Linked DNA regions of Caenorhabditis elegans. The protein of the gene in region 1 purifies or fractionates together with the protein of each later gene. This does not show direct contact. Each region holds a gene or a part of one and is shown in the gene's direction. Other genes may lie near its edges.

The links.
Region 2: the proteins of nmy-1 (region 1) and parp-1 fractionate together in Caenorhabditis elegans (co-fractionation; one large-scale study listed by BioGRID). This does not show direct contact.

Annotation. Positions count from the first base shown.
Region 1 is NC_003284.9:2,906,266-2,914,001, forward strand, and holds the start of nmy-1 (Myosin-11), read left to right. Parts: upstream 1-3,261; 5' UTR 3,262-3,290; coding exon 3,291-3,421; intron 3,422-3,469; coding exon 3,470-3,662; intron 3,663-3,709; coding exon 3,710-3,866; intron 3,867-3,923; coding exon 3,924-4,075; intron 4,076-4,157; coding exon 4,158-4,178; intron 4,179-4,845; coding exon 4,846-4,938; intron 4,939-4,993; coding exon 4,994-5,156; intron 5,157-5,623; coding exon 5,624-5,767; intron 5,768-5,816; coding exon 5,817-6,290; intron 6,291-6,344; coding exon 6,345-7,465; intron 7,466-7,521; coding exon 7,522-7,716; intron 7,717-7,736.
Region 2 is NC_003279.8:2,920,339-2,926,486, reverse strand, and holds the start of parp-1 (Poly [ADP-ribose] polymerase 1), read left to right. Parts: upstream 1-1,773; 5' UTR 1,774-1,792; coding exon 1,793-1,885; intron 1,886-1,950; coding exon 1,951-2,670; intron 2,671-3,319; coding exon 3,320-3,442; intron 3,443-4,536; coding exon 4,537-5,114; intron 5,115-5,196; exon of another isoform or gene 5,197-5,301; intron 5,302-6,148. Other genes in the region: Y71F9AL.1 (tRNA (guanine(10)-N(2))-methyltransferase TRMT11), read right to left, coding at 543-773, 825-1,067, 1,123-1,242. UniProt on the Caenorhabditis elegans protein: Poly[ADP-ribose] polymerase modifies various nuclear proteins by poly(ADP-ribosyl)ation, a post-translational modification synthesized after DNA damage that appears as an obligatory step in a detection/signaling pathway leading to the reparation of DNA strand breaks and programmed cell death.

The DNA of each region.
Region 1 (7,736 bases):
CTTAGTCGGATAGTAGGTTGTGGGCTTGAAAAGAGAATTATAACATAAATCGTTATGGTAAACAACATCATGGAGAGAAGAAGCCGCTCCGCAAGCCAGCCGCTCCACCAATTCTCTTAGTCTGTTTCCGAGTATTGTCGTTCAATTGAGCGACTTTTTTCCGTCTACCTCTGTCCTTTTTTCCTCCCCCAGCTCGTCCAATACAGAGGGGTGTCAGTTGTCAGTTTTCAACTTCCACTCATGACTCATAAAATATGCCAATATTTCCGTCCGATAAGCAGGGCGGGAACATTGATTAGCACTACTGATAGTGTAACGGCATCACCTTTTTTTAAAATACAATGATTCATATGAAATCTGTTTTTTTACACTGCTTTTTCTTTGTCGTCTATTTTTTTTTTGAAATCTTGATTTTCAACTCGAAACCTAACAATAAGTTTTGATAGTCCTGATTTTTTTGCAAAAAACATGCAATTTGAATCTTCAAAATTGCCCACTGTCTGTGATTTGCATACTTTGCATATATCTTAATGATCTTCCCAATAATATAATTTTAGCTGCTTTAGAGCAGGTTCAGCCGAGTTTTGACTTTTTTTATTTCAAAAAGTTTTACATTTCAAAATTTTTTTTTGAAAATTGAAAACAATACTGATGAGTTGTTCAAAAAGGTGAAAAAGCATACAACTTCAGCTCATATTTCTCGAAAAATATATATGTTAAACTGCGCTCCATGAAACCCCACTTTTAGAAAACTTGCTCAAGATATGTAGCTTTATTCGAGGGTGTTTTAGAGAGTTATATATCTTACAAAGTACAAGTAATTTATCAATTTTCAGAATAACATTTTTTGTAAACATCTAAGAAATTTTTTGCACAACTACAACTCGCCTGAACCTTCTCTGGAGCAACTAAATTTTTTGAAGGAAACACAGGATGTCGAATAGAAAAATGTATATCTTCCCTAGTTAGGCTTGAGTCATTGCCGCATATTTTTGCCTCGTTGACACTTTATTCATATATCTGATTACAAAAGATGTCCTTAAAATTTCGGTGTCAAACCATCCACCCCTTGGGGCGGTGATCACAATCTCCGTGAACACCGGCGTTCTGTTCTGCATATCCATATCCGAAAAGTACACGCATCATACGGGTCATCTATACGCAAGAGTTGGATAGGTGACAAATAGTTTCTTCATGTTGTATGTCTGTATGTGTATATATCTATGTATGTGTGTGTGCGACTGTGCGTGTGTCTGTGTGTGTGTGTGTGTATGAGAAAAGGTGAAAAAGTTGGATGTGCTTAGAGAAAGAAAGAGAGCGAGGAAGAAGGATGAACGACAAGAAGGTTGGGTTGGCGCGCGAATCAAGGACATCAATTCTTCGAACCAATCCTTCACACACTCCCCCCCCCCCCCCCCCTTCCCTCCTGAATCCAGCCTGATGGTCGTGCGGCAACCTCGTCCCCGCTGAGTTATTCTGACTACCTGGCGGCGATGCGAACGAAAGGTCCTTCTTCGTGTTCGCCTTGTTCGCCGCTGTTCACTTTCACCGTACGACGCCTTCCCTTCCACACTGCCTGAGACGTTTTGAGAGATTTAACTCGACACCCTCACTGTATCCGTCCTCGATCACACACACACGTCTAGTACCACATAACAGCCGCTTAGGAGGAGAGGCGATTCTTCGTTTCTTGTTGGAGAACAACTGGACACCTTGTCCGTACTTTCCATCCTCTCACCAAACCGCCTTCTCTCTTTGTTCATCGTTCGCTTCCTTCAGCACTTTTATTTATAATCCAGTAATTTGTCGTCTTTCTGTTTTCCATCAACGTTTTGAAATCCAAATCGGTTACATTCCTTGACCTCGATAGCGTTTTGTCCCACATTATTTATATTTGAGTCCATTTTTAGATTTATTTGTTTTAATCCAACTTCCCCATATAATTTTTCAAATCTGAAGGTTCCCAATTGGTAAGTTGTTAGGAACCATTTTTATGGCGACAAAATGACCAAATATCAAAATAAAACTTTTCACAACAAATTTGAAATTTTTGAAATTTTTTTATTGACAGTGAAATAGTGGCATTTACCGAGATTTTGCCACTTTTTGAAAAAAAATTAGAGCACTATAAGTGTTTTAATACAAATATTTTTATCATAAATAGACCATAAAATTAACTAGGAAATTTTCTTGATCTACGACTTTCACAAAGTGGCAAAAACTAAGATTTTTTTCAATTTTAAAAATACCATTTTAAATTTTTTTAAATTTTTTGAAAATATTTTTATTATGAAATTTGTAGTGTCATATGCATGTTTCAAAAATTGTTTTTCCCCACTAGCGCTACACTACCTTTAATGCCAACTTGAAACACTTTTGCATTGTTCGCTTCATCTTCATTTCCGTTCAAGACCCAACCAAAAAAAAATTCCAATCCCATGTTTCTGGCGTGGAACGGACATCAAAAATGTTTATAAAAACGAATCGTTCAAAAAAAATCGTACAGATGATTCATTCCCAGGAACACATTGTTTTTGTTGGCGTTTTCCCGCGTTTCCTCCCAGATTCTCCGCCTTTCCAAGCTCCGCCTGCATGAAAGCATTTGTCTAGAATTTTTTAGAATAATATTTTCTATCACAAGCGTTGGAAGCGATTTTGAATTTCCATTTGTCTTAAGAAAGTCTTGAAAACAAAATCTTTGTTTTCAAAATTTAGTGTTTGAAACTATTATCGTGGTACAAGAATTACCAAATATCATTGTAGAACATTTAAAAACATTTTTTTATTTCCTGTCAAAACATGCCCCAGTTTTTGTAACTTATGATTTTGGAAGCCGAGCAAAAAAATTTTTGCAAGTTTTATACTTTAATTTTTTTAAATTAATTTTTTTTAAACATAATTTCCTTAACACTAATATTTTCAAAAATGTGGCAATTCACCACAGCTTTCACTAGAAAGTTGAAAAAATCCAAAAATTTTTGGAGTCTTTCATTATGATATTTGCACATTTTGGCCTCTTGCATTTGGTCTTAAAACGACCAAAACTGTACATGATTGTTTGGAGAACAAATGTTTATTAAATTTGATTTGCTTCAATCGTACACGTGACTCACCTCTTCTTATTGTTTTATTTTTTGCGCCCATCCGCTTTCCCATCGCTTCTCCGCCCACTTTCGTTTCTCTTCTTTTTTCAGTTTCGGCTCATTTTCCGCTCTTTACATCTTATAGCAAAACGGATCTCAATTTCAATTAAAATTGAAAACAATTTTCAGATATTACGAAGTTAACAAATGGGTGACCTGCAGTACCTGCAGGTACAGAGGGCGGCCGTTGCCGATCCTGCCACACTTGCCGCGTGGGCACAGCGGAAACTGTGCTGGGTACCAGATCAGAACGAAGGATTTCTCATTGGATCCATCAAGTGAGTTTGCGTGCTCTCAACTCATTCCGTAATCGGTAGTAATTTCAGACGAGAAACAAACGATGAAGTGCTCGTCGAGCTTGTGGACACGAGTCGCCAGGTCACAATCAGCAGAGATGACGTTCAGAAAGCGAATCCACCAAAGTTTGACAAGATCGAAGATATGTCAGAGTTGACGTATTTAAACGAAGCGTCGGTACTTCACAACTTGAAAGACAGATATTATTCTAGTTTAATTTATGTGAGTTGAGAAAAAAAAACATTTTAATTTCAAAATAACTATTTTAGACTTACTCTGGTCTCTTCTGTGTTGTTATCAATCCTTACAAAAAGCTTCCAATTTACTCGGAAGATTTGATTGAAGAGTTCAAAGGAAAAAAGAGACACGAAATGCCACCACACATATTTGCAATTGCTGATACTGCGTACAGAAGTATGCTTCAAGGTGAGCAATATACATACTTTCCAAACAAAGCGTTTGCAAAAATCATATTCTTTTCAGAACGCGAAGATCAATCGATCCTGTGTACCGGAGAGTCTGGAGCAGGAAAAACTGAAAACACGAAAAAAGTTATTCAATATTTGGCTCACGTTGCTGGAGCCACTCGAAACAAGTCGCTAAATGCTGCTGCACAGCAAAATATTGTTCAAAAGGTTAGTTACTATAAATATTTGTTACATCTACTTTAAAAGGTATATGATGAAGAATAATAATTATTATAATTGATATATTTAGCCAGATGTCCGCAATCCGATCGTAAGTTTGATCTTGTTATCTTGCTATTTTGTTGTGAATTGTTGTCGTGACATTGTCGTGATACACTTTTCTGTGACTATTTCAGTAACAAAAAATATTGTTCCGTAACAATTTATTTATTGATTTTTCTTGTTCAGTACATCACCTTGTTCTAATATGTCAACAAAATCCAACAGAAAAAAACTTGTCTAATCATATCTAATTATGTTAATTGTTCTAATTGATTTGAAGAAGCAGTAACGGTTTTTGTGTATTTTGAAGGTATATACCCAAAATGTGCTCAACTAAAAAAAGTCGTAATAAGCCAAAATTGAGTATTTTGGCGAATGTTATCCATTTTTTCGAAATTTTTAAGCTGTGGAAAAAACATTTTTAAAAATTCGAGAACATTTTAAAGTTTATAAGTTCAAAAATTTTCAAACCGTTTCTCCTCCTTTAAGGAAATCAACAAAAAAGATGCAGTTCTTCCCCATTTGCTGCAAACAGATTATTATAAAAAATGCTTTTAAAATCCAAACGGCTTTCTCCAAACAAATTATTCCCAAAGAGCTTCATCCTCGAATCAAAAAATGTTGTTTTATTGTGCTCACAACCTGATCAAAGTCATGTTAATTCATTTAGCCACCACTGCAAAATAGTTTTACACGTTTAATATCGAAGTTTTCAGGGAGAATTGGAACATCAACTACTTCAAGCCAATCCAATCCTTGAAGCTTTTGGTAACTCGAAGACAGTGAAAAATGACAACTCTTCCAGATTCGTATGTGTGATATTTTTAATCTTGCCCCCCGTGCATATTTGGTTTTTTTTTTCAGGGTAAATTTATCCGTATCAATTTCGACATGAGCGGCTACATTAGTGGTGCGAACATTGAATTTTATCTGCTGGAAAAATCGAGAGTGCTTCGTCAAGCTCAAGACGAAAGAAGTTTCCACATTTTCTATCAGATACTCAGAGGATGCAGCGCCAAAGAAAAAAGTAGGTTGAGTCATAAAATCCAACATAAGAATTGGATTTATAACAAACCGAACGCATTTGTTTTTATTAGCCTGGTGAATCATGCGTGATTCATCATTTGACAAAAATGACGTTGAAAATTTTTAAGTAAAACCGTTAGGCCTTTTAAAAATTGAAACAGGAGTAACCCAAGTGGAAAAATGGTTATAAACCACTTATAAGTGTAACCAAATATCATAACAAAACTTTTCAAAATCAATGTTGAAAAAATTTAATTGACGGTCAAAAAAGTGCTGTTATTGAGTTTGTGCTACTTTTTCAAAAAACTATAGCACTACCGCATTTTTGAATCCCTACAGTGTTTAAATATCAACATTTTAAACATTAATTGATCATAACATTTGAAAGCCCAAAAGAGTGACAAAAACTGAGTTTTTTTCATGTATCAAAAAATTATATAAAATTCCACATTTAACTAATAATTTCAGGTGAGTACCTTTTGGAAGGAGTCGACAACTACAGATTTTTGGTAAATCGTGGAATAACTCTTCCAAACGTAGACGATGTTCAAGAGTTTCACAGCACAATCAACTCCATGCGCATTATGGGATTTGCCGACGATGAAATTTCATGTACGTAAACCATATTGAACCTGAAAATCAAAAAACCATGTTTTTTCAGCAATTATGCGTGTTGTTTCTGCCGTCCTTCTTCTCGGAAACCTGGAATTCACTCAGGAGAAGAAGAGTGATCAGGCAATGCTTCAGGATGACAGAGTGATTCAGAAGGTGTGCCATCTTCTTGGTCTCCCAGTAATCGAGCTGCAGAAGGCGTTCCTCCGTCCACGCATCAAAGTTGGAAGAGAGTTTGTGAACAAGGCACAAAACCAGGAACAAGCCGAGTTTGCCGTCGAGGCCATTGCAAAGGCCAGTTATGAAAGGCTGTTCAAATGGCTTGTGACCAGAATCAACAAGTCTCTTGATAGAACTCACCGCCAAGGAGCATCATTCATTGGAATTCTCGATATTGCTGGTTTTGAAATTTTTGATATCAATTCATTTGAACAAATTTGCATTAACTATACAAACGAGAAACTTCAACAGTTGTTCAACAATACCATGTTCATTTTAGAACAAGAAGAGTATCAGAGAGAAGGTTTGTTTTTTTTCGGAAAATGTAACTTGCAAAGATTTACAATAATATTTTCAGGAATTGAATGGGATTTCATTGATTTCGGACTCGATTTGCAGCCGACAATTGATCTTATTGAGAAACCAATGGGAGTTCTGGCCCTTCTTGATGAAGAATGCCTTTTCCCTAAAGCGAACGACAAGTCATTTGTTGAGAAGCTTCAGAAAACACACAACAAGCATCCGAAGTTCATTGTTCCTGATATGCGATCTAAGAGCCACTTTGCCGTTGTTCACTACGCTGGCCGCGTCGACTACTCTGCTGATCAATGGCTCATGAAAAACATGGATCCATTGAATGAAAATGTTGTTGGACTAATGCAGAACTCCACTGATCCGTTTGTTGCTGGAATTTGGAAGGACGCCGAGTTTGCTGGCATCTGTGCGGCGGAAATGAATGAGACTGCATTTGGAATGAGGTCTCGCAAGGGAATGTTCCGAACTGTCTCGCAATTGCACAAAGAGCAACTTACAAAGCTTATGACTACTCTTCGGAATACATCTCCACACTTTGTTCGTTGTATCATTCCAAATCACGAGAAGAAGTCCGGAAAAATCAACTCCAACCTTGTACTTGAGCAGCTGAGATGCAACGGTGTGCTCGAAGGAATCAGAATTTGCAGACAAGGTTTCCCGAATAGAGTTCCATTCCAAGAGTTCCGTCATCGATACGAAATCCTTACACCAGATGTCATTCCTAAAAACTTTATCGATGGAAAGGAATCTGTTCGCAAGATGATCACTGCTCTGGACATTGACACAAATCTCTACAGAATTGGACAATCCAAAGTGTTTTTCAGAACAGGAGTTCTTGCCCATCTTGAAGAGGAAAGAGATCTCAAGCTCACCGCTTTAATTATGAACTTCCAAGCACAATGCAGAGGATTCCTTTCTAGACGGCTTTACACCAGAAGACAACAGCAATCCAGTGCTATTCGTATCATTCAGCGTAATGGACTTGCTTATTTGAAGCTTCGCAATTGGCAATGGTGGAGACTATTCACCAAAGTGAAACCTCTTCTTCAAGTTACAAGAACCGATGACGAGATTCGTGCTAAAGATGATGAGTTGCGTGCAACAAAAGAACGGCTTCTCAAGATGGAGCACGACTTCCGTGAAAACGAGAAGAAGCTAGACCAGGTGAGCATTGAGTGTTTGATCAAAACGTCACAATTTTCTCACGATTTTTTGTTCAGGTCATTGTCGAGCGAGCTGTGATTCAAGAGCAACTTCAACAAGAATCGGAGAACAGTGCTGAACTGGACGATATCCGTGGTCGGCTTCAGACTCGCAACCAAGAGCTCGAGTATATTGTCAACGATATGAGAGACCGTCTTTCCGAGGAAGAACAGCAAAATGAAAAGAATAATGACGAGAGGAGAAAGCAAATGGTAAGTGTTAATAATTTCTA
Region 2 (6,148 bases), on another chromosome or scaffold:
AAAAATAGTCTGAAATTCAGAAAAAAACATTTTTACACTTTCTTAAAGGTGGTGTAGTCGAAAAAGTCGAATTTTTTCTATATATTATTATTAGACTTAAAATTGTCTGAAAACGCCGAATTTCATGACGAAACTTCTTGAAAACTTCTCAAAAAAAAGTTATAACGGCTTAAAAAAAGACTTAAAATGAGTTAAAATTTGAAATTTGCCCGACTTGTCAAGCGGCTGGAAACTAAGTTTTTTGAAATTACCGTCTAATTTTGGGTATACAATGTTATTATCTTGCGTTTTCAACCTTATTTAGGTATTTTAAAGTCGATGGACGGCGAGATTTTTAAATTTTTTAAACCAAATCTCGCCGTCCATCGACTTTAAAAGACCTAAATCGAGTTGAAAACCCAAGATAATTAAATTGTATACTCAAAATTAGACGGCAATTTCAAAAAAGTTAGTTTGCATCCGCTTGACAAGTCGGTCAAATTTCAAATTTCCACTAACTTCAGGTCATTTTTTGAGCCGTCATAACTTTTATTGAGATTAACCTGAATAAAAGATAATTCAGGATCCATCGTTGTATTTCCAATATAACATCTATCACGTAAATTATATTTGGTTTTCAGCTCGGCTCGTCCTTCACCAATTAGTTTTCCGAAATAAACTTTCTTTGGAGCTTCATCACTGGGATTTTCGTATTCTTCCACTAGAAACAGCTCATTTTTGGGGGATTTCAGGCAAATTGGCGCTTTATTGAATGGGACCACGTCTAAGAAAGCCTGATTGAAAAAATAATTAATTTAAATTAGAATAAATTAATGATTTCTCACTTTAATCCGTTCAATACTGTCAAGTTTCTTTTTCCGCCCGATTGCAAAGAATCGAATCGCAAAGCTTTCCTCTAATTTATCGAATTTTTCTATTATTTCCGGCTTGTTATCAATTTGCTCATACATAATATCGTATGACTCTGCCTCGATCGATAATTCAATTGCATATTTGACTAGAATCGATCGTGAAAGCAGCTTCCGAACTTCTAGATGGCTTTCGAAATTGACGATGAACATGTGGTCCTGTAAGATAATTTAAGATAATTTTGTGTGGGGTTCTCGTAATAATTTTATATACCGTTGTGTTCAGCTTTTCCGATAAATCTACTTTTATTGAGAACATTGAGCAAATTGCTTCGAATTCTGCTATCCTGAAGTCTACATGACTTTGCGAGAAGATTACTAGCACCGGGAGCATTTTCTCTGCAAAAAATTGGAGATTTTTTCAGTCTCTTTCAACTAATGTAAATACGCTCTCTTGTGACTAAGCGCGCGCGTTTGAACCAGAGGACAATTTTTTTCCTCAGCGCTAGTAGCCCCTGAAAGAGTTATTCATACTTGAAAAAAGAAACTTTTCTATAGATTTCTGCATGAAAAATCAATCCTCAGCGCTTCTTCTCTTGCTTTTCCTGATTGTAATGAAATTTTAGAGTTTTTAAATTGTAAAAAAAAAACTAAACAAGTTCTTTTTGAAGGGAAAATTCGTTTTTAAATGCTTAAAATGCTTCAAAAAAAAAACAAATAAAAAAAATTGTTTCTGTGCATACACCGTCACGACAAAATGCAGACTTGCCATTGGTCTCGCCGCGAAAAAACATGTTTCTTTTGAAAGATTGTCTTAATTTTTTGATTTCAATCATGATTTCAATCAGAATTTTGCGATCTTTCAGCATTTTTATCTATTTTAAAGCTTTATAAATTAAAAATTAAATTTTTAAAAATCTTCCAGATTGTCATACGGGTCCCGGATGATTCATTCCAACGAGCCACTGCCCTACGCTATCGAATATGCAAAGTCTGGCCGGTCGAATTGTAAAACATGCAAAAAGAATATCGCGTTGGTGAGAGCTTTATAAAGCCTAAAAAGCCTAAAGCCTAAAATCAGCCTAAAAATTGAATTTTTCAGGATCAATTGAGAATGTCAATGAATCGCCCGTCAACATTCTTCGATGGAAACATGGATTCGTGGTTTCACTACAATTGCTTCTGGATAAAAATGATTCGCGGCCGAGATGACATCAATATAAGCTCAATCCGAGGAGTCGATTGGCTTCGCTGGGAAGATCAGGAAAAGCTTCGCCAGGAAATTCAACACTTTAAAACCGCATCGCCACCGACTCTGACACCCCTGTGCTCTACCACTACCGTCATTTTGTCCACAATAAAAACCGAAAAATCGTTGTCAAATCGTGGGAAATGTGGAAAATGCGGCCAAAATTTCGAGCGCGGCGAAATCAAGGCTCATAACAAGGGAAAAGCCAACCATTTCAAGTGTTTTCTGCAGGAATTTGATAAAATTTCCGGCACCGTTGAGGATATTCCTGGCTGGGCGGATTATGAGGAGAACTTTAAAATTAAGGCGGTTGGGGAGTATGTGGAGGCTTTAGCTGCGAAAAGGCGATCCACGGAGCCAGCTACCCCGGCTTCTGCCTCTCCAACACCACCAGAAGCTGAAACTCCAGTTTTATCTGCAGAAGGATCCCCGGAAAGCTCCAATAAACGTCCGGCAAGCTCTGAAATCATTGAAATCGACGGTGAAGGGAATCCAGATGAGAATGATTTTGCGAAGAAAAGACGAATGAAGAAGGAAGCAAGATTGATGGAGGTTCAGAAGAAGCGAATGAAGGTTTTTTTTTTTCAGTTTTAATGGAGGACTAACGGTTCGGACGATTTTGAACGTATAGACTCAAAATGAGCTCAAATAAACGAATTTCGTAATGAAACTGCTCAAAAAAATTTCAAAAATGTTTTATGGCGGTTCAAAATTTTGAGAAAATTACACTGATTTTGGCTAAAATCACGATTTTTTCCCATTTTTCCGTGTCACATCTGTCCGTAGTTGGCTTTTTTGGAATTATCGTCCTTTATTGCATACATTGGTAATTAATCTCATTTAATTTCGTCGATTAAGGTACATTTGAAGCCGATAGGTAACCAATTTCGATAATTTTTGGTTACCTATCGGCTTTAAATGTTATTTGATCGACGAAATTAAATGAGATTAATTACCAATATACGTAATAAAAAACGAAAATTCCAAAAAAGCAAACTACGGACAGATGTGACACGGAAAAATGGGAAAAATTCGTGATTTTAGCCAATATCAGTGTAATTTTATCAAAATTTTGAACCGCCATAAAATTTTTAAAAAAATTTTTTGAGCAGTTTCATTACGAAATTCGTTCATTTGAGCTCATTTTGGGTCTATACGTTCAAAATCGTCCGAACCGTTAGTCCTCCTTTAAAACGCTGAAAATTATTGGAAAAATTTACAGAAACAATCCGATCTTCTCTGGGAATACCGCCAGATCTTCGAAAGAATGCCGTACACCGACAAAATCTCTATATTACGAGAAAACGAGCAAGACATTCCAGAAGGACACGATCCGACTGCACAAGTACGGGTTTTTCAGTGAAAACTGGACAAAAACGTCGAGAAAATAGCCAATTTTCTGCATTTTTATACGAAAAAAATCGAATTTTTTTTCGGTTTTTTCCAGAAAAAAATCAGAATTTTCCCATTTGTTTTTCGATTTTTTAGCTTTTATAAGGGAAAATTGAAAAATCGAGGAAATTTAATCAAATTTTTGTTCGTTTTGATGGAAAAATATTGAAAACAAATTAATTTTTAATAAAAAAGAAGAAAATGGACAAAATTTGAAGCTATTTTTGGGGAAATCGATTTTTGTTTGTTGAAAAATCAGAAAAAAAAACCAAAAATTTTCGTTTTTGTTCCACAAGGGCGTCGTTTTTCCGATATTTCGAAAAAAAATTATCCATTTTTCCAAAAAATAGCCTAAAGTTTTGGTCATTTTTCTTGTTTTAAACAGAAAAAGGTCCCCATAATAATACAAACTTCCCGGCAAACGGGCAAATTGCCGAGAATGAAAAATTCCGGCAAACGGGCAAATTGCCGAGAATGAAAATTTCCAGAAAACCGGAAATTTGCCATAAGTGAAAATTTCCGGCAAACCGGCAAATTGGCGAATTGCCGTAATTGAAAAATTACAACAAACCGGCAAATTGGCGAATTGCCGTAATTGAAAAATTACAACAAACCGGCAAATTGGCGGCACTGAAAATTTCCGGCAAATTAGCGAATTGCCGGAAAATGGCAATTGTCAAAAAAAAAATTTCAAAAAGGCACAGTTTTCAGCGTTTCCGTCTTTAAAAAAAATCCCTTAAAACTTCCGGCGAACCGGCAAGACGCCAATTTGCCGGAATTGAAAATTTCAGCCAATTTTCCGATTTTGTCGACAAAAAAATTTGCCGAATTGCAATTGCCGCCCACCCCACATAAAAAACATGAATAATTTGTATAGAATAAGAAAAATGACCAAAATTTCAAGATATTTTTGGAAAAATCGATATTTTTTTTCGAAATATCGGAAAAACGACAGAAAAACAGAAATTTTTTGGTTTTTTTCCGATTTTTCAAAAAAAAAATTTTTTTTCGTATTTTCGCATTTTCAAACTTCAATTCTTTTTGCAGGTAATCGAACGCCTAGTGGATAATGCCCTATTCGGATGCCCAATCATTTGCCAAACATGTTCAAATGGAAAAATTGTCTATAATTCATCATGCCGCACATATGTCTGCACTGGATATGCTACAGAATACTCGAAATGTACTTATGAATCAAAGAATCCAATTCGAACTCCATTCGAAGTTTCTCACCGATTAACTGAAAAGCATAAGCTTCAAGATATTGTATTCAATCAAATGAGTGAACGACTTTATATAGGAGAAGAGGATGGAGAATCTGTAGTGAAAATTGATAAAAGAAAGTCGAAAGGTGGTACTCGTGGTGAACAATTCATTTATGCGGCTGAAGCATTCGATTCGACTAACAATGTTCCGATAAAAGTCGGCGATCTCACATCAACCAATACTCATATTATTAAAAAAGGAACAGTTGTTGATGCGAAATTCGCACTGGCCGATCGTTGTCATGTATTCAAAAATGAGATTGATGGAAGTCTCTATCAGGCGACACTCTCGTTTACTGATCTTACACAGAATAAGAATTCGTATTATAAGATTCAACTGTTGAAGGATGATCAGAGAGAGTGAGTTTTTGGCAGAAAATCCTCCGAAAAAGTCGGAAATTCAAGAATAGCAGAAGAAAAAAAAAGCGAAAATTTGAATTCCCCACCCAAAATGAGAACTGCTCAACCAATCAGCGATTGGTTCAATATTGGGTGGAGCACATCACTGATTGGTCGTGTAGTTCTCATTTTGGCGCGAGCAAAATTCTTTTTTTTTTAAATTAAAGCTGGTGTAGTCGAATTTTTTTATTGCTTTATAAGAATCAAAATTGTCTGAAAACATCGAATTTCATAATGAAACTTCTTGAAAACTTTTCAAAAAAAAGTTATGACGGCTCAAAAAATGGCCTAAAATTAGTTGAAATTTGAAATTTGGCCGACTTGTCATGCGGCTGGAAACTAACTTTTTTGAAATCACCGTTAAATTTCGAGTATACAATGTAATTATCTTGAGTTTTCAACTCGATTTAGGTATTTTAAAGGAGATGAACGGCGAGATTTTTAAATTTTTTTAAATCAAATCTTGCCGTCCATCGACTTTAAAATAACTAAATGAAGTTGAGTACGCAAGATTTTCTTAAATTACATTGTATACTCGAAATTTGACGGTGATTTCAAAAAAATTAGTCTCTAGCCGCTTGACAAGTCGGTCAAATTTCAAAGTTTAACTAATTTTAGGCCATTTTTTGAGCCGTCATAACTGTTTTTTTTTTTGAGAAGTTTTCAAGAAGTTTCATTATTAAATTCGGTGTTTTCAGACAATTTTGAGTATAGTAAAGCAATAAAAAAATGAGACGCCACCTTTAAGGATTAGCAGAAGAAAAAAAAACGAAAAAAATCGAATTCCCCCCAAAATGAGAACTGCGCGACCAATCAGCGATTTGCTCCGCCCATATTCGATCTGATTGGTGCAAAAAGTGGGCGGAGAACATCGCTGATTGGTCGTGTAGTTTTCTTTTTGGCGCGAGCAAAATTCATATTAGAAATGCGAAATTTTTTGGATTACTGTAGCCCCAAAAATATTACAGTAATCCAAAAACTAGGAAAAATTGCAT